Linked DNA regions of Drosophila melanogaster. The protein of the gene in region 2 interacts with the protein of the main gene of each other region in a pairwise test. Each region holds a gene or a part of one and is shown on either strand. Other genes may lie near its edges.

What was found.
Region 1: the proteins of betaTub85D (region 2) and CG13707 interact in a two-hybrid assay, tested with the Drosophila melanogaster proteins (one large-scale study listed by BioGRID).
Region 3: the proteins of betaTub85D (region 2) and PGRP-LB interact in a two-hybrid assay, tested with the Drosophila melanogaster proteins (one large-scale study listed by BioGRID).
Region 4: the proteins of betaTub85D (region 2) and CG42659 interact in a two-hybrid assay, tested with the Drosophila melanogaster proteins (one large-scale study listed by BioGRID).

Annotation. Positions count from the first base shown.
Region 1 is NT_037436.4:4,836,713-4,843,051, forward strand, and holds CG13707 (uncharacterized protein), read right to left. Parts: upstream 3,397-6,339; 5' UTR 3,189-3,396; coding exon 3,066-3,188; exon of another isoform or gene 2,212-3,065; intron 2,127-2,211; exon of another isoform or gene 1,851-2,126; intron 1,736-1,850; coding exon 1,367-1,735; 3' UTR 1,079-1,366; downstream 1-1,078.
Region 2 is NT_033777.3:9,407,037-9,413,124, reverse strand, and holds betaTub85D (beta-Tubulin at 85D), read left to right. Parts: upstream 1-2,842; 5' UTR 2,843-3,072; coding exon 3,073-3,465; intron 3,466-3,524; coding exon 3,525-4,472; 3' UTR 4,473-4,742; downstream 4,743-6,088. Other genes in the region: alpha-Man-IIa (alpha-Mannosidase class II a), read right to left, coding at 1-264, 318-431; Task7 (TWIK-related acid-sensitive K[+] channel 7), read left to right, coding at 1,108-1,237, 1,301-1,456, 1,523-1,584, 1,639-2,039, 2,095-2,368; CG44261 (uncharacterized protein), read left to right, coding at 4,980-5,276; CG8135 (uncharacterized protein), read right to left, coding at 5,416-6,003, 6,064-6,088. UniProt on the Drosophila melanogaster protein: Tubulin is the major constituent of microtubules, a cylinder consisting of laterally associated linear protofilaments composed of alpha- and beta-tubulin heterodimers.
Region 3 is NT_033777.3:11,456,852-11,463,291, forward strand, and holds the start of PGRP-LB (peptidoglycan recognition protein LB), read right to left. Parts: upstream 3,702-6,440; coding exon 3,596-3,701; intron 1,170-3,595; exon of another isoform or gene 772-1,169; coding exon of another isoform or gene 735-771; intron 1-734. UniProt on the Drosophila melanogaster protein: N-acetylmuramyl-L-alanine amidase involved in innate immunity by degrading bacterial peptidoglycans (PGN). Probably plays a scavenger role by digesting biologically active PGN into biologically inactive fragments. Has no direct bacteriolytic activity.
Region 4 is NT_033779.5:18,004,570-18,008,757, forward strand, and holds CG42659 (uncharacterized protein), read left to right. Parts: upstream 1-2,790; 5' UTR 2,791-2,924; intron 2,925-2,978; 5' UTR 2,979-2,998; coding exon 2,999-3,148; 3' UTR 3,149-3,273; downstream 3,274-4,188. Other genes in the region: CG5693 (uncharacterized protein), read left to right, coding at 2,214-2,432; CG42634 (uncharacterized protein), read left to right, coding at 3,425-3,769; CG42635 (uncharacterized protein), read left to right, coding at 3,859-4,188.

The DNA.
Region 1 (6,339 bases), on a different chromosome or scaffold from region 2:
CCCTGACCACAGGCCGAATGGGTCAGACGAAGGGGTGGTGGGGGAGGGTGTGGGTCAGAGAACATGGAACATGGGAGAGACAAGGACAGCACACGGGCGACAAAGATAGCCGGTCGAGTTGATAAATTGCGCGCACAACACAGAGACAAAGAATGCGCCAGCTTACGGACACCCACACAGAAACGGACACCTCGCTTATTAGGCACAGTCTGAGTCATTACAATAAGTTTAACTAAGGCCAATGATATTTATCATATTAGTACATATTAAATTGATTTAAAAAAGTTATATTGTTTTATAGAAAAAGAAGCACTTATCATATACAAGTAATTATTTATATTATTTGTAATTCTATTCCAGACTTTACCATCCACTGTAGATCCCGTGTGCCCATGAAAAGCTTGCCAACTGTCCACCACTTTCGCCCAACCCGCAACCTTATCCACTCACCCAGCATCCCGGGCATCCTTGGACTTTTCCCGGCGATGGTCGAGCAATTTAATCAGACAGCAGAGCGCAGAAAAGCTGATAATACCGTTATGAATAATTTACCCACATACGCACACACATTCGCTGATGGGAAGTGAAACGCGTTTTATTATTGTTTCTGGACCTGTCTCTTTTGGTTTTATTTATAATTAATATAGCTGCGCCAGCGTATAATATAAAAACATCGCATAAAAGCACTTGTTGTTTGCACTTTTGCTTTCGAGCCTTTAAGAAGCTGCGTGTGAAATCGTTTTAATTAGGTGCGGTAACTTGTTGCGGCTGACCAGTGGAAAACGGAAACTACAATTTGGGAGCGGGGAATCCCCGAATGTCATATTCACCTCAGATATTTGCCGCTGTGCCGATGTGCTTTCTGTCAAAATCAATGTACATCCCCACCGCAAATATCATGAATACAAGATGTTTGCGGTGGGGACTAATATCGAAATTTTGTCTTCGCAGGCGACCGCAGTAAATGAAACAACCAGAAATGAACAATTTACCAACCAAGTATGTCATTTAATGGCTACCCTGATGTATTTAGTTAGAGAGACGGTTGGGATAATTAAATAATTGGCTTAATGAAAATATACTTTCAAGTGAAATCGTTTTATTAATCACACAAGGTTCTTAACTTAGATGGAATATGATATTTCAAATATTTTTTTTTAACATGTCATGCTTCTTCAAAAATTATGTGCTTAAGGATGTCAATTTATAATTTGCAATTAAAGGAGGTTAATGACATCTCAGCGCAGTCTTTCTTAATTATACTATACTCAAATATGTTCGGCTCTTTTGTAATGGCAGATTATAGCTTGGGCTACAATACTTTGTTCATATGCATTTCGGACTAGTTTCAATCTCAGAGCTAAGCTCAAACTACAGGATTAGGTTCCTTTAAGCGCTCAGCTCGTTTCCCCCTGCTTCTTCTGGAGAACCACAGCAATCTGGAGCGCCTTTGAGCTGTGACCACATCGGATTCCACATGGATGCAGTTCCTTCCGCCGGACACCTTGACCAACTTCGTATCCAAATCCAGTTCGCTGGCATTGAGTATTTGTGCGACATGTGCCTCGTCGATTGTGCCTTTGAAGATAAGGGGATAGGGCCACTCGTGGCATATCGTGGGTCCGCTATAGTCCCGCAGAGCCTCGATCATCCTGTCCAGGCGCTGCATCTCCTCGTGGTCGTCGTTGAATTCGCGCACCTCATCCAGCAAAGCTGCCACATCGGATTCGAGCACCTGCGAGGTGAGGTGGAAATTGGATTAGCGGGAAATCGCTTATTTTGCTCGATTTGCACTGCGGTATCCAATGACACAATGACAGTGACGGCGTTACGGTCAGTGATAGCCTTACTTTCCCGCCGGCTGAGCTATCCACCCATCCAGGTCGCCATTCCGGACCCCCTTATTCGCGCCATTCATTCGGCGATGTTGGCTCGGATTTCAGCTCTAATATCTTTCCAAAGGCCTCGTCACTAGCGTCTCTATTAGTGCCAAATTAGCCAAGCCTAGGAACACGGCCAACTAAGCTCATGTTGGGTGCATGTTTCGAAGGGGTGAAAAGTAAACCCTACCCCAAACACTCTACACCAAAAAGGTAGTTATCAAAAGTTAAAATCAAACGAAGAAGCTGTAAAAATAGTTTATCCATGTATTGTAGTTAAAATACAATAGTTAGGGAAGTTGGATTGTATATTTAGTTAGACAATTAATACCGGGTAATCATCCTGTGCGGAAATAACTTTATACTTATTCATCTGGCCATGACTGTGCCATGCATTGCGAAACCGTTCGTTTGCCTATGGCCGAACCGACATTGTCTAATTAGCGGTGCTAGTAATCACTGCAGTCCCCAACTACCCCCACGTCGCACCCCCAACCCTCTCTGACCCGTCCAACATTCTAACATTTCGTTCCCAATAACTGGCTATAATTGCATTAACATGTTCCAAATCGCTGCTGCAGCTGTTAACAGAGTTGCCGGTCGCGCATTGTTGAACAACAGGTGATAGCAGGTGAAATGGCAGCAGAAATAGCGATAACAAATTACAATGGCTAAAAGGGGTTAAGAGATATAGTCGGTTGACCATTGTTAAGCTAAATGCTAAGAGTTTGTTGACAAGCTTTCATTAAGAAAAGCATGCAAAAATGTGACGTTACTTTTATGAAGATTACGTATACGACTAGTTGAAGACGGCATTTAGTAAAAATGGTAAGATAATTTTACTGCTACTAGCTTACTTAATGCATTACAATTTAATTTTTGTATCCAAATAAAAGAGCTATTTTTAGAATGAAAGCCGAAATGAACAGAATTGTTTGTGAAAGCACAGATAATATTTCGAAAGTGATGGAGCGATAACAGAAGTGGCACAAAGGCCAGATAAGAAGGAGATTATACAGACAGAGGCACAGTTGTACATATATACCAGATATAGAATCTGTCAATGTGTTTGCAACACTTTAAACCAGCAACAAAAGTGTAACTCTGCGGCCAAGTGGATTACGCTTGTGTGGTAAAAACAATTTGGACAGGGAAAGAAAGGGAAGAGGTTCGTCGATCAATTACCAAAAACTCAATATGCAGATTAATAACACATTTTAGCACTTGACGAACACGACCGCGCAAACTTTCCACGCTGCGGAGCAGTTGCCTCCGCCGCTGCACCGCCGCACTAATTGGCTCCGTCATCGCGGCATCTGTGATGCCCTGAATGTTTTATTTTTTGATTGCCCACCGCCGGCGACACTTGTCCAATTTTCGGGTGGTTTTTTGGACTTTTACATATAGCACTAATTCGTGTTTGTTGTTTTCCTTTTATTTATTTTCTGTAGTTTTTCGTTCGCTGCCTTTGTTGCTGCTCTACATGTTGCCGCGGAATTCCGCTCGCGAACAGCGCTCGCCGTTGACTGAAGCCTCTTCTTTCAATGAGTAAATTGTTTACGTGCGTCAATCAGCCGGGCACTTGAGTGTGTGAGTATATCTGTGTGGGCACACACTCAACCAATACCCATACACACACTCGCAGTGCAGGAACAATTGGTGCAGTTCCACTTCTCATAGCCACTCAAAAACATCTCAAAATCGGCGGCCACAACCACGGATCCCGCACCACGGACCACGTACCAGGGTTCGGAGCCCGGGATTTGGCTTCCGGCTGTGCGTTGTGTCCGTTGGGTCCGTGGTGTCTGGCCAGTGAGGTGTCTCCGGTGTTTGGTGGTGAAGGGTACCAATAGAAAAACGAAATATCAGCTGTACAATTTATTCGATGGAACATATATTTTGAAGCCACAAACATTCATTTTTGTCTTTGACATTGGCATTACTTATTTTAAATTTTTGGTTTGGACTAGACATAAAATATAAAACGCTACGAAGTGGGGTAAAACCTTGGAACACAGGCTTTTTTAAGAGGTTCCATCATCTCGCGTTTTATCCCAAAGCGGAGCGAGACAGGCATTAAAGATTTATGAGCCATCCTAGTAGCAGGCAATGTTATTATGCAACCATTCTTTCCCCTATTTTTTCCATCGTAATAGTATGCAACACTTGAGTTCCCAATGTAGCCACGAAGTATGCAGCATTTCCCGTATTCATATGCAAGCCGCAATGATTTTAGAGCTGCTCGTTGACTTGGCTTTAATCGTGCTTTTCTTTGGCCCAGCTTCATCCCCATCACCATCCTTATCGAAGTTCCCTTCCACAACCCATTCTGCTGAAAGCCAAACAAGCATCAGCAGTTAGCCATTAAAATTTTAATTTTGTGCACCATTTGCCACCATCTTGGCCCACTGGGCACCGATTCCATCTCGGCAACGTCATAGCCATCGCCATCGCCATTGCCATAGCAATCCCGTCCAAAGCCCTTGGCTTGAGCGATTATGTTGATGGCCAAGTCGAGGCTGCTCACCTGCAAGGGCCACGCCCTCCTCGCCGACGCTCCTCCGCCTCCTTCTTGTCGATAATACGCTCAATTCAATTTGCATATTCAGTTGTCCAATGAAGCGCACACCACACAGAAGCGTTGCGATCCGTCGTCCTTCCAGCTTCCAATTCAATCCCTGCCCCAACCGGTGGCACGACCAAGCAAATGGTCTCTTTCTGGGCCATCCCGGTTGTTGGCCACTTGAAAGAGCCCAAAATGTGCCGCTGACAGCGGCGCACGCATGAGCTACCTGAACTGCTCCAGAACAGCTCGAGCACTGCAAGAAAATGCGGATAAAATATAAGTAATAGTAATAATTTTTCTAAAATATTTTATTGCGATTTAAATTTAGTTACCTAACAGTTTAAGTGAAGCATATCATATTTTCAATTCGAACTAAACTAATTCAGGATACATTTTTCGCAATGCACTTCGAGTTCCCAGAACCAGATCCTGCTCCGTGAATCCTTCTATCCTCGAGTCGTCCTCACCTGCTGTTAGTCCATTACGTTAGCAATTTAACTTACGCCACGTAAACATGATTATCATCTTAAGCGCAGTGTGTGTGCGTGCGGTGCAATGTGCGTGCAGCGGGTGGGAAAACTTCGAAGCCAACTGCGGACTGTAAGCTCGTTGGCTCGCTGTTTAACAACTTTCAATCTGCTTAAAACTGCAATTAATTTAAACGGTTTCTTTTTTGCCCCATTATATCCGAAAACAGTGTTCTCGGACTACCGCCACCCAATCGCAATCCGGATTTCAATCCGGTTAGAGTGCTCCCGCCCTAATTGAGCTTGTCAGAATCAGCCATCAGCAGGCAGAGCGTGTTTTGGCCAGGACACCTGTGAGGGATTCAGCTCCCAGTCGACACAGGTGTTCCGTCCAGACCTTGGATGTGGATCTGCCCTTGTCACCAGCATGTGGTCCAGTGGTGATGCTGATCCTGACGAAGCAGATTGCAGCTGATTGAACCGCACGAGAAGTCGCCCACGTCCACATCACGCATATCCCTCTTTGGAGTTGCGAGAAAATTGCAACAGCCGCTTGATTTATTTGGGGGCGGAACCAAGTTATAACTTGTGGGCGTGGCTGCTATGCAACACCATTTTAGGGCACCGCTGTGTTAGGTATTCCTAAGGAAGAGAGTGAGGAAGGGTATATTTGACATCAGGCCACAGAAATTGCCAGCATGTTTCATCCATTCCTTTAAACATATTTAATTATCCTTACCTTATAACTTTTGTATTGAAAAATAGTTCTAGCTTAAAACATTATACGAGGGTATTCACCAGCCGCCCAATTTTAGTAACCCTTCTTATCACTCTCACTTGTTTTACCACTTGACAGGGTAAATACGAAGCCGAAAAACAAGGACCAAAGTCCATCAGACAGACAGTGAAAAAAGGAGAAAGCTCACTCACGACTACAACTGCATTTATGCAAATATTAATATAGATATACTCACAAACACACACACACACACTCTTACTGTCGGGGCAGATAGACAGTCAGACAGAAAGAGAGGGCATCACAAAGTACCGTTGACAAACCCATTATCAGGAAAACAAACCGGAGATTAACTTGGCAAAATGTCTGCAGACGTCAAAAAAATCCAGAGTGGCCAGCGAGTGCGAGCGAGAGCGCAGCATTTGGATAACCACCGCATGCTGAATAAAATATGAGCACACACATGGACAGATGAAAATGGAGCGAAAGAGACGGCGAGAGGATGCAGACACACGCATTTGGTCCTGCAAAAGTGACACATGAGCGTAATAACAGCTAAGACCTTGCTAAGCATCCGGCAGTCAACAACCACTTGCTGGATGCCCATCCCATGCACATCCATACCCACATCCTCATCCTGGCCTCGTCCTGGTTGCCATATCGTCCTGGTCGAGCGCGTAGCATCCCCTC
Region 2 (6,088 bases):
CCACACGCCTCCATCTATGTCCTTGAAGGACATGCGATCGTATAGCTCCAGCATCTGTACATCCACATTGGGCACGTCTTGGACCACATCTTGGCATTGCCCTGGCCTCGGGGAACGAGCCACTTTAAGTGGAGGTCTTATTGGATCGTCGCGATTGGATGTTTCGGCAAGACGCGCCCTGAGATTCCGCATCTCCTCCCCGTGCTCCTGCAAACCATTTTCCAGCTCATGCAGCTTGTTCTCAATGTTCTCATAGTTGGGCTGCTAAAATAAAGAAGTTATTATACATTCGAATTGATTTAGAAGCATTTATTTACCTTTATCTGGGTGGCTGCCGGCGCCGCAAAATTGAGGATTATGTACAGGCTGAGGAAAACCAGCAGGCAGCCGGAGCAAATTACCAAAGCGAACCGCCGACGTATTCGCAACATTTTCCGGTTAATTAAGCATGGAAACGTCGACGTCAGAGACACAGCAGCCAACTGCAACAATCCAATCGGTTGGAACTTGCGTGGTTTTTTTTTAGCATAAACAAATCAGATCTGGCGATATGTTTGCTTTTCCCGAAAATCGATAGGCTGTCAAGTTATCGGCGCTGCTAACTGCAAAATGTTAAATTGTTAAAATGGCTTAGAAAGACAAAAACTTTAAAGGCAATTAAAGAAAATGTAATAAAACTCTTATGTTGTTTGTGTATATTGATCCTTTAAAAAAATTATTATTATCCTTAGTTATCGTGACATTACAGCTTTTTAGCTGTACAGAGTTAACAGATACCGCCAAGTGGCAACGCCATCAAATTCTGTTGCTTCTGTTGTGATAAACTAACGGTAAAATCACAATCCTTTATTGAGATTAACGGTCAAATCAATAGATAAAAGAAAACTTATTACATATTTAAAGAATGATGAAATTTTTAAAATTCATTGTATCATATGTTATTCGGCCACTGTAACCGAAATCAACCATTTTTGGCGGATGCTGTGTGTTTGTTTTGCTGACAACTATCGATTTTGTCAGACGCAGCATCTTTAACTGAACGAAAAAGGCGCGTGGTGCAAAATATATTAATTGATTATAGATCGTAGTGATTATATTTGAGACTATATGATGAAGCGACAGAATGTCCGTACCCTTTCCCTGGTGGTATGCACTTTCACCTATCTTTTAATTGGAGCCGCCGTGTTCGATTCCCTGGAGTCACCAACGGAGGCCAAAAGATGGGAATTCCTACAGAGTGAGAAGCTTGTTGATTTATTAACCTAATTTCTTAGTAATGAATTTATTTAATCAATTGTAGCCGTTAAGAACAACTTTGTTAGAAAGTACAATGTGACTGACGAGGATTTCCGTGTGATGGAAATCGTCATCATTGAAAATAAGCCCCACAAGGCCGGACCTCAGTGGAAATTCGCTGGAGCTTTCTATTTCAGCACGGTTGTACTGGCAATGATAGGTAAATTAATTATCTATTAAATATGATTTATTGAATAGATTATAATTCTGTTGTAACTTTCTTTAGGATATGGTCATTCTACGCCAGTTACAATTCCGGGAAAAGCATTTTGTATGGGCTATGCTATGGTAAGTGAACTTACAATCCCAATTTCCAGTCTTCTAAAGATATTCCCTTATTAGGTGGGCATCCCGCTGGGTCTGGTGATGTTCCAGTCTATCGGAGAACGTCTGAATAAGTTTGCATCCGTGATAATAAGGCGGGCAAAGAGAGCCAGTGGAGCTCGCTGTACGGATGCCACCGAAATGAATCTCATGTTGGCCACCGGAATGCTCTCCTCCATAATAATCACCACTGGAGCAGCAGTCTTTTCCCGATACGAGGGTTGGAGCTACTTCGATAGCTTCTACTATTGTTTTGTCACCTTGACGACAATTGGTTTCGGCGATTATGTGGCATTGCAGAACGACCAAGCTCTAACTAATAAGCCTGGCTATGTGGCGCTGAGCTTGGTCTTCATCCTATTCGGCTTGGCCGTGGTGGCCGCCAGTATCAATCTATTGGTGCTCCGATTCATGACCATGTGAGTCCATGTTCTATTGCAGGAAATATCTTATTTAATGGATTTTTAATCACAGGCAAGCAGAGGATGCCAAGAGAGATGAGCAGGATGCTCAGAACTTGGCTGGAAATGCCCAGCCGGTGACCTTCGATGATGAGTCCACGTACAATATGCACGGCAAGCTGCTGGAGAACAACTACACAACGGAGAACGATGAGACCGCCTCCCTGTGTTCCTGCACCTGCATGGGTGGCACCAGGTGCCTGAATCATGAGCAGTTCGTGGACCCGGACTTTCAGCCTACCGACATTATCGAGAGCACCTTGTGCCTGAAGCGAGCCTCCGTCTGATATCCGTACAGCCAGCTGTGGGACTCCTCATTGTAGGAGCCAGAGCCAATGGATCACCAAATCGTAGTTACAATCCTGTAGAGAACCATCCGCCGCCAAAATTTGGTTGTTAGACAAACCTTCCTCCCTACGTAGATTTTTAAACCAGGATGGGTCATAATACATATAAGTTTGGAGAGCAAGGTTAATAGTCTTTAAAAGGCAGTTTTTGCTTAAGAAATAATCGACCCATCCCATTATACACCCATATAAACATTTACAAAGGAGTAAAATCCAGGACATCCATGTCAATATCAATCGTATCATCTGGTCGGTAGCCTTGGAATCCTCTATTGCTTCCAAGGCACCGCCAAATCCATCCCATCTCGAATTTTAGCCGTATATTCGTTTATCTATGTAAGTACTATTAAAGTTTGTGCTCAAAACGGAGAACTGAGTTTTCTGAAATCGGGGTGTGTGAAATGTGTCGAAGTCGGAAATCGTAGTAGCCTATTTGTGAACATTCGGTGTAGTAATCCAAGCCAGGTTCAGTTCACCTCAGTATCAGCTAGCACGTACACGACTAAAATCTAAACCTGAAAAATTATACGTTTAAATATTCAGTCTTTTGCCGATTTTTGCCCCACTCAGACTGTTTTAAAAGCTCGATTTTTTTTTGTACCATTTTTTCGGTGTGAAAAAGGGGCCCTAACTTTACTATCAAAATGCGTGAAATTGTACACATTCAGGCCGGTCAATGCGGTAACCAGATCGGTGGTAAATTCTGGGAGGTAATCTCGGATGAGCACTGTATAGATGCGACCGGAACGTACTACGGCGATAGTGATCTCCAGCTGGAGCGCATCAATGTATACTACAATGAAGCCACCGGTGCCAAGTATGTGCCACGCGCAATTCTCGTGGACCTGGAGCCCGGCACCATGGATTCGGTTCGTTCTGGCGCCTTTGGCCAGATCTTCCGGCCGGACAATTTTGTGTTTGGCCAATCGGGAGCAGGCAACAACTGGGCCAAGGGTCATTACACCGAGGGTGCTGAACTGGTGGATTCCGTCTTGGATGTGGTGCGAAAGGAGTCCGAGGGATGCGATTGCCTTCAGGTAAGTTTTGGGGGTTTGGGAATTTATCTGAAAAAGTTTACCCTACTTTTCTCCAACAGGGCTTCCAGCTGACCCACTCGCTGGGTGGCGGCACTGGCTCCGGCATGGGAACCCTGCTGATCTCGAAGATCCGCGAGGAGTACCCGGACCGCATCATGAACACCTTCTCGGTGGTGCCCTCGCCCAAGGTGTCCGATACGGTGGTGGAGCCCTACAATGCCACCCTGAGTGTGCATCAGCTGGTGGAGAACACCGATGAGACGTACTGCATCGACAACGAGGCGTTGTATGACATCTGCTTCCGCACACTGAAGCTGACCACGCCCACCTACGGTGACCTGAACCATCTGGTTTCGGCCACCATGTCTGGTGTGACGACCTGCCTGCGCTTCCCTGGCCAGCTGAACGCTGATCTTCGCAAGCTGGCCGTGAACATGGTACCCTTCCCCCGGCTGCACTTCTTCATGCCCGGATTCGCACCGCTCACCTCGCGAGGATCGCAACAATACCGGGCCCTTACCGTTCCGGAGCTGACCCAGCAGATGTTCGATGCCAAGAACATGATGGCTGCGTGCGATCCGCGACATGGTCGCTATCTGACCGTCGCCGCCATCTTCCGTGGCCGCATGTCCATGAAGGAGGTGGACGAGCAGATGCTCAACATTCAGAACAAGAACAGCAGCTTCTTCGTGGAATGGATCCCGAATAACTGCAAGACAGCGGTGTGCGATATTCCGCCCAGAGGTCTCAAGATGTCGGCCACCTTCATTGGCAACTCCACCGCCATTCAGGAGCTATTCAAACGGGTTTCGGAGCAGTTCACCGCCATGTTCCGAAGGAAGGCCTTCTTGCATTGGTACACCGGCGAGGGAATGGACGAAATGGAATTCACAGAGGCCGAGAGCAACATGAACGACTTGGTTTCTGAATATCAGCAGTACCAGGAGGCGACTGCCGATGAGGAGGGCGAATTCGATGAAGACGAAGAGGGTGGCGGCGATGAATAATAGGATTAACTTCCCACTCAAGATCACACATGAACACCAAAACAGGCTAGCAGGGGAACCCATTAGGAAGGCACAACACATTGGATCTTTGGGCCTTAGCATATTGTGCTTCGAGGCCCGTCGGTTGTACATATTTCCTATATGGATTCTTCACTGTTCGATTATTTATCATTCACACACGTACAGAAGAAATATGTCCACCTTTGTTAAGCTCATGTTGCAATTGCTGTGATTTCTGGGTTACGAATAAATGTTGATTTATAAGCAGACAAGATTACCAACAGCATTTTGCATATTTTTATACCGTTCAAAAGGCATTGCATAAACCTAAACATTAATATATAAATATTCTGGATTGAATTGAATTTGAGGCTAAGCGCTCAATATCGAAAATCTATATTTTGTTGGCAATCATTTTTTAGAGTTGCCTTACGAAAGTGACAGCTTTCCTTTCTGACAGGCCGTCATCATTCAAGTCATTCAAGTCATTGAAGTCAAGGCACCAAGATGTATTTTCCGACTACTCCAGTTACCTCTCGCAGTGGCTATCTGCGCGGCCGAAAGCGCATAAATCCGCATCCCATATCGCAACTGCAGAGTGGAAAACCGACGTCGGAAGACGACCAGGATAGCACAAATGTTGATCTAGAAGAATCAATCAGCTCAAGCTACTCATCGGAGACGGACATCTCGATGAACGTGGAGGCGCAGGACACCAGCACGGATAGTGGTCTGGACACTAGCCAGGAGAGCAGCAACGAACCGCGCTACTCCCTTCGAAAGATGGATAAGAATCCTCTTTAGTGGTTTATTCAACTGAATGGTCTACATGGGTGTAAAGGAACAGCAGCAGCAGCAGTGGCATCGGGAAATACTTAAGCGCGAGCGAAATATTGAGATACTCGGTAACGAATTGAAATAAAGAGTTATCCATATCCAAAGTCTAGACATCGTCGAAGAGTCCTCGGGGTGGTGGGCCGACAATTCGACCATCTGTCTCCGCCTCGTAGTCGGGGTCTCGGAATCCCACCTGCACCTGAGTGCTCACACCGAAACGGTCGTTGATCTCCTCCGACAGGGATCGCGGTACGCCCAGTGCAGAGGAAGAAGCCACTGCCGCATAGTCAAAGCTGCCGTCGCCATCGCGCAGCAGCCCGTCGGCGGGCGTGCGACTACTGGTTAGTCCACCGGGTCCACCACTCCGGTATTTGCTCAAGTAATCGCTGCCCAGAACCTGATCGGTTCGGTTGAAGTCACGGCGTCTGGCCATCGCCTCCTCGGCACGCTGGCGGCGGCGCTTTTCCCGCGCTATAAGATCCTTTCCCTCCTGCACCAGTTCGGTAGCAATAGTTTCGTTTTGCAGGAACTGCTGGAAGCCGAGAGCATTCAGTGCCCGACTGCCGAGGCTAAACCAAGTGGCCAGACAGAAGGCCAGCATACACATTGGGAAGTAGATATTGAAGCCGTTCGAGATGATGCCAATAACATCCATGTGGCCCATGATCTGCGTGTACACCGTCTCCATAATGCGCTGAGGAATAGTTTATAAATTTTCAGTAATTCAGTGTTTACGAACATGTTTACTACTCACGTTGGGAATAATGTGTGTGTCCATA
Region 3 (6,440 bases), 2.0 Mb from region 2:
TTCTCTACATTTTTTGCAACCATTTTCATCTGATGAACTAAGTTCGAAATTTATTCTACTATTTTAAAGATTGAAATACGCAAGGAACACACGGATCTAAAGGATGCATTTAGAGTGGAATTGTTATTATATTATTATTTGATTAATCATGATTATTCTATTATTTTATTCACCAAAACATAGTGACGTATTTTCATTCACCTTCGTGAAATTAGAACATTACGTGCTTACATTTCGTTTTGGACTTGAAAACTCAGGGAACATTTTGGAATTTGTTTATTTCATTTTTTGAAATTGTTTATTATTATGTGCATGAAAGCTGACTTTTTGGCTAAATGAGCAACTCTCGTTCGCGGTTAGGGTGCGATTATAATTATGAATATTAAAATCAAAAACCATTTCACTCGCTCGCTGCCTGCCTGTCAGGCCGTAAATGACAATTTTGTTAAATGTCAGTAATTAATTGAAACAAAAAATCACATTTCTGACAGCATACGGCACATATACATATATACATACATATATGGAAACACCTATCACAGTTCGATGCATATATTATCTCTGGGCTATCAGTGCGCTCAGCTGACGCAGATTGCACTTGCTGGGCGCTCAGGAATTCAAAAAAAAAACCCGATCTTATAGCCCCACATTCCCATACCGGGTGCTATCTGCACAATTGGTAAGTTCTCAGGGGCATGGCGATAAGGAAAAGCACCCTAACACCCGGCACTTACCCATCATCGATAGCAGAACTAATCCCAGTGCTGTCATGTTGCTGCTTTTAGCTGCTGTTGCTGCGAAGTTGCTGCTGCTGTTGCGATGTTGCTGCTGTTGCCAAGTTGCTGCTGCTGTTGCGAAGTTAGTGCTGCTGCAATCCAACTGCTTAGGAACTGTGACTTGGATTTAGGAACTTTTGTATCGACTGCTAGTCGCTGTTTGTTTCTTGTCTTGTTTGTTTGTTTATTTTTGTGTTTGTTTGTTTCTTTGTTTGTTTGTTGGTTTGCTTGCAGCGTTGTTTGTTTGCTGGCTGACTGCTACCGTTTATTTTTTTTTTGCTTTGTGGCAAGAGTTGTGCAAAATTTCGACAGTGTGTGAAGGTCAGACTTTGGTGCGGCAGCGCTCACATAGCGGCGTTATGCTTCGTATCAAGCGTATAAAGCGCGAATGTTGGCCAGCATAAGGGCGGACCGGAGTTTATAGAAAAATTCACACACCGAATTCGCACTGCTGCTGCTGCCTCTGCTGCTGCTTCTGCCTCTGCTGGCGTCGCTGCTTCCGATTGCTGTTGCTGTGACCGCCGCCGCTGCCGTGGGAGCAATGCCAAACAAATGGCTAATCGCATCGAACTTATGGCCCCCCAACGCTCTCGCCGCTCGCTCTTTGATTTCGATTTCGCTCGGAGTGAGCTTTTGGCCGCCGCTGCCGCGCCTCGACGGTTACCGCCGCTGTCGCGGCTACCGCCGCTGCTTCTGCTGCTGCCGCTGCCGCCGTTGACGTCGCAGCCGAGTTTGATAAAGCTGTTATCAGGCGGCGAGTTGCGCTAAGGTCACGATGTCGCCCTTAGGGAAATTTAATACGATGATCGAACTAGCGCCTCGTTTGCGGTGAATTACCCATGCCGCCGCGAATTTATTGGCCCCATTCAACCGCATTTTACCTCCTCCGATCGCCGGTACTTTTTTTTTTTTGCCAATCCGAAGGGTTCTTTTTCAAGCGCTGCGGCTACGAGGGCTATCACACGTGTCACTCTGAATCGACATTCCAAATGACAGATACGCGTGCAGAGAAAGAAAATATTGGCACCAGACAATATTTGCTTTATTCAGCCAAACGTTTTCACTTAAACCAACTTGTTTGAAATTAGCTTTGATTATTTTGCATTGAGTGATTACTGTTCCACTGTTCATGTGTGAACCTATTTCAAAATCGTTACTTTTCTTCGCGTGCACGAAATGACTACACTTTGGCCCAACACTTAGATAACCAATTAGGGTTAATCACTGAAAACGTTGCATAGACTATAGGGCACGACTCACGCCCCGCAATAACAACTTCCGACAAGCGTGAGTGATTAACAATCCCAACTGTTTTGGCAAGTGACGATTAGATTACCGTGATACGGATCGCTGATCATACGGATCAGAATGACACTCATTCAACTAGTTCAATATCGGTCATTCTCGAAGGTCGCTGCTGATAAGAACCCTCTATCGAGGGCATAAATCAGCTATGGGGAACTTTTTTTTTTTTAACCAATTCTCAAGACTTTGGTTGTGCAAATAATCAGACAGCTGCGAACTGAACTTAGCATTTGCCAATGGCTAAGTTTACGTTATTTTTGAATCTCCCTGTGGCGATTTATTAATGTCACTGTTATTCGCCCAAAATGAAATCTATGAGTCATCCGTTGCTTTAACCATCTCTTTTTTAAATGGTAATATTGCGTTTTTGAGCTCACATCTGCGGTTTTACTTCTTGTGTTTTGATAAATGAACGAACAATTTCCATAGCTGGAGGTGACAGTTGAATTGTTGAATATTTTTTGCAGTCAGGAAATTCGGCTGATGCCATCTAAATACATAGTCACAGACTAGAGTTAAAACAAAGGTTGACAGCTCGCAGATGTGACATTTCTTCGTACGAAATTCCTTATTTAAAAATGTAAATTAACCATTTCAATGAAATCTTTATATTAACTTAGATACAGATTTTTAATTGAATTCATTTTTGAAATGTATTCTCATTTTTTATGTTCATAGTGGAAAGATTATTCTTTTAGTCTGAATCCTTTATAAGAACCAACTTGAATCGTTTCAATAGTTTGGGTTTACTTTGTTTTACACGTAAGGATACATGATATCTTATTTAAATTATATTCCTATAAAAGCTGATATTCTTTTCGCACGATTTCAGTTGTTTACGATTCCAAAACTCAAAACCGTGATTTTTTATGGCTGGTTGCTGTGACAGCATCACTGCCCCCGTCGTTCTCTGTGTCATTTGCTTTCTTTGACCACCGGCACCGGACATACTCTTTTATAATATGTATTCGTGTGATTTAATTTTTGTTTTTGTTGTATTTTCGAATCGGGGATGCCCCTTGGTGGGATCGCTTTGATTTTTTTGGGGGAATCCCGCTGCAAATGCGGCTGGTATTAAATTGCTTTAGTCGGAGTGCCGAGATCGGATGGCTAGACAAATTAACAGCGTTTTATTTTCCGTCGTCGATTTATGGCGAACAAGCACATTCCATCTTCATCTTCATCTCGCTCTTAATCTGAATTAGTTTTTTTTTCTTTGTGTGCACACAGGTTTTTCGAGTCGAAAATTTCGGGGGATAACCGCCAGATGCGTTCTGGCGCCTCGTCCAAAGGAAGTCCAAATCACCGGACTCATTTTCTCCTCCAACCTCTACTTGTCTTATTTTATTTGCTGTTTATACTTGTGGCAAGGTAAACACGCAGACCACACCGCCCCCCCCCCTTCGCCCAGCATTGGAATATTTATTACACTTCAAAAAGGGGAAATTTCTCTCAAACGCTCTTGGAAATTGTTGAATTGTTTTCAGCAGCAAAATAGTTGCGGCGCTACTTACCACAACTTGTGGCCAGCTGTTGCTGCTCCAATTGCTCCGAGTCCATGAGGATTGCCAAGGAAGTTGGGCCAGAAGTGGAGACGGATCCAGACACCTTGTCGCCCATGTTGTTTGCCAATGTCTTTGACGCTAACTGAAATGAAGTCCGAAGTCTTAGAGGCAGTTTTCTATGTTCGTTGGCAACAAGGGGACCGTTGATTAGGTCTTGTAATCTTGAGTTGCTCTTCTTTCTTCGAGAGGTCCACCACTTGGAAGTTCTTAAATCCGCAGGTTAAATGAAAAATAAATACGTTTAACAATTATTTTCGTGTGCATGGGGTCGTCAATTTGATGGGCCCAAGCAGGTGGATATACAATGCTAATAAATATATTTTAACGACCCAGGTGTGCAAATCAGATAAACACACAGCGAAAAATGTTTCGTATATATCTGTACTCATTAATACGAGATGTTTGTTTAGAAAATGCATTAAGTCCTACAAAAATCCCCCAAATAAATCGGGTATACAATTAATATGCGATAAAAATCAATTGAATTATCACCGATCGAAAATCCCCGGTTAGAGCATTGCGCATTCGACTTTTGGCAGCTGGAAGCGCTGACCATTGTGCTCATAACTTACCATTCGACTGGCTGCCCGCTAATCGCACATCTTATCAGGGTATTAAGTGCCGCTCACTAACTACGCCTTGGCACGCTCTCCCAGTAAAAAATTTCGAGGGGGGGCAAAAATCACACGCAAAATCACAGGCCTTCTTTTATAACCCCCCCCCCCCCAGCACCAGCTCCAGCTCCAGGTGGTGGTGGGGTATTCACCCAGGTAAACATTATCGAGCCAGAAGCTTTACACTCTCGCACATTAGACAAATAAACGGGTGTCTCTGCGTTGGTTGGTTGGTTGGGGTTGTGTGTATTACAATTAACAAAAGTAATTGCACTCGTCTGGGAATCCCCGGGGCCACAATGAAAACTCTTTGATGGCGTTGGCCATGCAAGTGGGAGAGTCTATCTATATCTATCTATAGCGCAAAGTGAAACACACTATAATTTCCACGCGGATACTGACTGGCCGTCCTATCTGTTTTCAATATTTCATTTTCCCTATCGGAATAATCGCAATCGTTATAAATGGCTCCCGAGAGCCAACTGTGAATATCAGGCAATAATGAGAAGTAGTAATTTAATGATACGAATTCAAGGGCCGGGTTTTTTTTTTTCTCTTCCCCGTCGGCTGAAAGATAACGTTGGGGGTTTTTTTTTCATTTTAAAGTAACTGACCTTATTTAATTTTGGCATCAGATTTGGACTTAATGGAGTGCTTTTCGATCGTGATAGTAAGTGATACATTAATTTTCTCTGCGTGCACATTCATTTAGATATATATACATATGTATATGCCAACACCCCCAATTGAAATCTTCGGCTGTGCGAACAATTCATCAGATGTCGCCATATCATTGCCTGTGCTGATTAGTTACGCCTTGCTGGTTGGTATCCCCTCAAAATTGAGCATGGGGGGATACCAGGCGGTGGCGAAGGATACTGCTGCTGGTATCCTTGTAGCGGCACGCACATGCCATATATTAGGACGCATAAAATGACAAACGACTCGCGAGGCGCGTAAATTGAAAACTCGCTGAGCCTGTGCGAGATTGCCAGCGCAAAGGATCCGCGGGGCGAAATTGTGTAAGGGGCTGGGTGGGGGGTATTGGTCCTGAAATGGGTGGCGGGGAATTTGGATTTCGGCGACTTTTTGGCTGTTTGTTATTGCTGCCTGAGCTGTCTCACTCGCTAGCTGGCTGTCGGCCAAAACTTTGCCAAAGTATTCAAATTAAAATTTCAATTAAGGAAGTGAATTTGTGTGTGCCGAAAGTGTATTAAGTCTATACAGCGGTGGCATCTTGGCATTTCACTGCTTCTGTATTCCACGTGTGCCTCTCTTGCCACGCCCCACCCCCTCCTCAACCGCCCACTTTTGTATGCCCGCACAGAAGGCTAAAACCGAAGTGAACTGAACTGAGCTGAGCTGAACCGCATTCAGCTGAAGCTGTACCGCCTACAAACAGCGCTCGTCGCCTGTTGTTTGATTTATTGCCAAAGTTTGTCGTCTGTCATATGACATAAGGAGTACTTTGTTGGAATATTTTACATTTTACGCGCCCCAAAATCCACAGCTTCCCCCAGCTGCCCCACGCACCTTGTCCGCTGACATTTTCGATTGAATTCGGAATGAGAACGAAAGAGGCTTTGATCGGCCCTCGGTGGGCATTATTAATAATGCAATCAATTTGTAAACAATTTGGCATATATCAATGCGCTTCGTGCTGGCCATAAATCTTTGGGAAATTAGCTCAGTCACTCTGCCCCTGCTGCCGCAAACTTTTGCACTTAAAAATATTGCAAGCTAGTAGAGTGTTTCGCGCAAATAAAGTTTAGTGGCTTTCGAGGTTGAGACATTTCGAAAGTGGCTATAAACTAATATATAGATGGTATAGATGGCAGGTAATTGCAATTTATACACTATACATATAGTATTAACTAGACCTTTTGAGCTTAAGTTTAATTCCTTGCCTATCGATTGTGGCAACATAACAAGTCCAAGTAGATTTCAAGATTTATAAAACTAAGCTTTATTGTGGCACATTCAATACAACTTGGGATCTATGTGGGCATAAAGTCAACCAGTTTTAAATTGTTATTTCATTCGCTATATTTTGAACCACATGAACCATATATTTCGCTTGGATTTCGCAAGTACATTTTGCGAGTGTGGTCATTTGCAATCCCGCCCCACTGACAGATTGCTGGGCCGCCCTCTTGATGGATTGGCGGCTGGTTCTGGCC
Region 4 (4,188 bases), on a different chromosome or scaffold from region 2:
GTTTGGTACGCTCCGCGCATAAAACCGAAATAAAACCACAAAATAATAGACACAACTATGTATGTTCAGTATGAACAGATCGTTTCCATGTTTTGGCTGTGACGGAAGTCTGGCCCCATCGCATAGGAACCCAAAATATATACACACAGACCGCGCAACTCTTTCAAAAAGAGGCCATAAATATTGTTCATTTGTAAATAAATGGCTAACGAAAAAGAAGAAAAACTACGAGTAGTGAAAATCCAACAACTCACAGAGCATATAAAACATGGTTCATGTTCATTTCCAGCACTTGGTTTTCTATTTCCAAGCCAAACACTCTATGGTGTTCCATGTCGCTGCGTGGGTGCTCATTTTTTATTGCAGTATCATCTTCCGGTCACTTTGTCAGGCCTCCAATACATTTCTCAAACAGTAACGACGGCACAAGTGTGCCTACTTGGGTTCGAACTTGAGTTATTAAAAACAGAAACGGAATCCAAGAAGTAATAGAACTACGTCCGACAAACGGAAGTCGGATAGACAATGTCGCAGTGTGGATGGGTTCTATCTAAGGGTTACACTGAGAGTTATGTGTTGTTACAGGAGCTTCTCATTCGAATCTCTTAATAATTAATTGATTTTGCACATTAGTTTCAAACTATTAGTCTATAGAACTGAGCAATAAAATGAGTAAGCTAATATATTTAACTTCATTGGTTATGCAGGAATTGGGTTCTTCTGCTTATGCCACTTAAAAGCAGTTCGCGTGACTGCACTTAGTTCAGTGGCACTAGAGTCCGTTTGCTCGGAGTGACCGGTCCCAAAACCACCAAGTGAACCGTCCCCCTAGCACTCCGCCCCAACACCCACTTACCGCCCATTTCCCCACCCACCTACACACGCAGTCGACGCACCGCGTTACGCTTTGAATATAAATTACACAAATAGTGCACACGACTTTGATGGCTGCAGCCGGCGACATTGAAAGCCGACAACGCTGCACAGTGGGTCGAATCCGAAAAATTATTTATATTTTAATGATAATGATAAGCTTAAAGTGTTGACTAAAATTATGCTATCTACCTCAATCATAAACATCACTATTTTCGATTTATCACATCCAATTTAATTAAAATAAACCCTTTTCGGTCTTTTTGTCGGTATTTTGTGTGCTTGAACAATGCATGTGAAACTTTTATACTTTCCAAGCTGAAAGCCCACAAATTAACCCAAGTCAAAGCACTTCGGTTCAAACTCTTTGGGTCACTGCAAAGACCACAGTGCAGATGAGCTGCCAGGAGCGCTGGTCATATCACCATGGCCCTTTGATGCTAATGACTCTGCCATCGCCTTAAAACCGGGGGATAAGCATCGATGGGGGCTCACAACGCTCCGAACTTAGCGGGCAATCAAAAACCGTGCTGAGGCAAATTGGCATGCGTGATGTAGATGAATGGAGATGCAGCCAGATGCAGCTAGATGCAGTGGCCAGGGGGAAATGGCGATGGATGGAGTTTCTGGGCGGGGGCAGAGGTACATATGTGGGACAAGTGATTTCCGCATCGCTTTCTGGATCGCAGCGAGCGGCTGCGTTGATTGATTGATTAATTGACAAAGGAATTGCCGTTAGTTTTCCATTCGCATTTACATTTGCATATCTAATTTATGAACGGCCAAGTCTTGTCCGGCCGTATGTAGTTCATTGTGTTAGCTATGCAAATGCTGTACTTCCGCTGCGAGCGTCTGCCCAAAGCAGCTTAATTATTCATTAATTTCAACTTAAATTCCATATTTGTGCCTGCAGCCATTTGTGGCCCAGTTTCGATGGCCTGCAGTTGCAGTTATCTTTCCGCTGGCTTTTGTCACCATAAAACTGAAGTGTTGCCCGATTATGAAATAATTATAAGCGTTCTGCACGCACTAACCGGTGATTTTAAGGGCGATTGGACTTTGATTCGGATTTTGGGAGATAGAGTTCAATGTGGGAGCTATTCGCATCGATTCTAGTACGAAATTAACTAGCTTTGTTTAGAGATTTGCGCAACTCGGGCATCTAGTTACCCGTTCCATTGTGTTTCAATACCCATGGAAATGAGAACATTTATGAGCCTCACTCGGCCCGAAAATTGCACCCAGTTAGCATCTATGTAAATTCACAAAATCTATAAAGTGGGACCCAATTTGCCACTGCCATCTGCCTCGACCTTCGTTTTCAGTGGAGGTGCTGCAGCATGCCTTGCATATTTAATCCGGGCTACATTGGACCCGATCCGCCCTGCTGTGACCCCGATTGCTTGGAGGAGGGCCACTGCACGGTTCCGGAGTGCGGAGTTTGCCCGGAGTCCCAACTACCCCGATGCAATCCCGCCCCACAATCCAACAAGGACGCGGCGAAGCAACCACTGGACCAGAAAGCCCAAAAAGAACCGAAGCTCCGGGAACAGAAGTAGTGGGGAAAAAGGCAAAGCTGCAAAAATGAACCAGGAGTCCTTTGGAGATGTGCTGAACACACAACCTTGTTGTGTGTTGCTAATATCTTCAAACATCTTGAGCTAAACCCATTTAGCTCATCATCTCCTGGGCATCGAACCGTCATATTGTAACATTATATTTCAAAAAAATTAATAATAATAATAAATAAATAAAATGAATATCTATAAATAATAAAAACAATAATAATATATATTAACCTCAAATTACCAGCTCTTTTCTATTTTAGCACAAAATAACTGTGGATAAAAAATACAGATAAAATTAATTCATTTTCTTATGATCTATCTAAAATGAAGTCAAATAAATTTAAACCAGCATTCTTGATTTAAATGTCAACAAAATAACACATAAGCGTACATACGCATTTTCTTCATTCAAATTTCAAGCACGAAACGTGTTGTTCTGGTCAAACATTTGTTTAAATTTCTCATTTTTCTCTTCCATTTCCGGTGAGTTTCGAAAGAGAAAATGTGGGAGATGTATTTATAAAATAAGATTTGCAGACTTCTTTCGAGTGCTGAAAATGGTTTACTTAAGTCGTCCTTGGACTCCGGCCATAAACCCTTTCTACATTGGCCCCTATCCGAGATGCGCAGTATGTCCGTGCAACTTCGACATTTACAAAGGATACACCCCCGGTGGCTGGCACAGTCGTTGCTATAGCAGCTATTGACGAGACGAGTACCTGTATAAAATGCAAGAATAACGGCGGGAACAAATATAGTTGAACTTTGAAACTGCACACCAATTAGCCTCGCACACATCTATGTAGAGAAATAATAAAATTGATTCATCGTCACCAAACTGTTGAATATTGCTGGGGAAATAATATAAATATTCCAATCGAAATGGCTTAGATTTCAAATTAGAACTCCTGGGAATTTTAGTTTATCAGGTCGCAAATTGTGTGAAAATAGTTTTCTAAATTCAAAATTCAAGTCTCTTGGTCATGTCCTCGTCTGTGGATCACGTGGTACACCACGTACTGGCCCCAATGGCAATCAACGTCCTCGATCGCGTGGTGCCAGTAATCCGCCAATTGGTGATCATCATGCATCAGGCATTTCTGGTTGATCACCATGTGTCGGAGCCCGTGATCGATGTATCCGGCATGATTCAGCCCGTTCGTAAAATAGTCTTGATTGTAAACGATTCAACGCCGGAGCACCATGTCGACCAGGAGCAGGTGGTCAGTTCGGATGACATTAACTACCTGATAAATGAAATTTCGCGAAGTATCCGAAACTTGGCCCGTTCGACCTATAATACCATCTCGGCGATGGCTGGAGAGTAGCCCTAGAATTATTTGTCATCGTGGTCGATCGAAAAATCCGACATCGACCCTCCTGATCCTCCAGAAGATCCTGCTCCTTTGCCCAAGATATGGAAATGGTTCACACGGCCATCGGAGTTGCGGGCATAGTGGCCCTGTTTATGGTAGTTTCCCGTTCGTTAACTGAAGTGGGTGGCAGGGTGTTAAACCAAACCCGTGATCCGATCGCTGACCTTGTGAGGCGCGGTGGTCCAGTGGCGGATCAGCTGTCCGCCGTCGAGGGCGAAACTCCTCTAGTAGAGGGCGATCGCATGGATGGCGCCTGCTCCGTGGTACAAAGTATTGGAGGCAAGGCATGTGCCTTTGTAGGACCATTGCTTCCTAAGTTTGGCAGTGAACATAATTCCGAGGGCTCCTCCAAGGAAGACGAAAAGGATAAA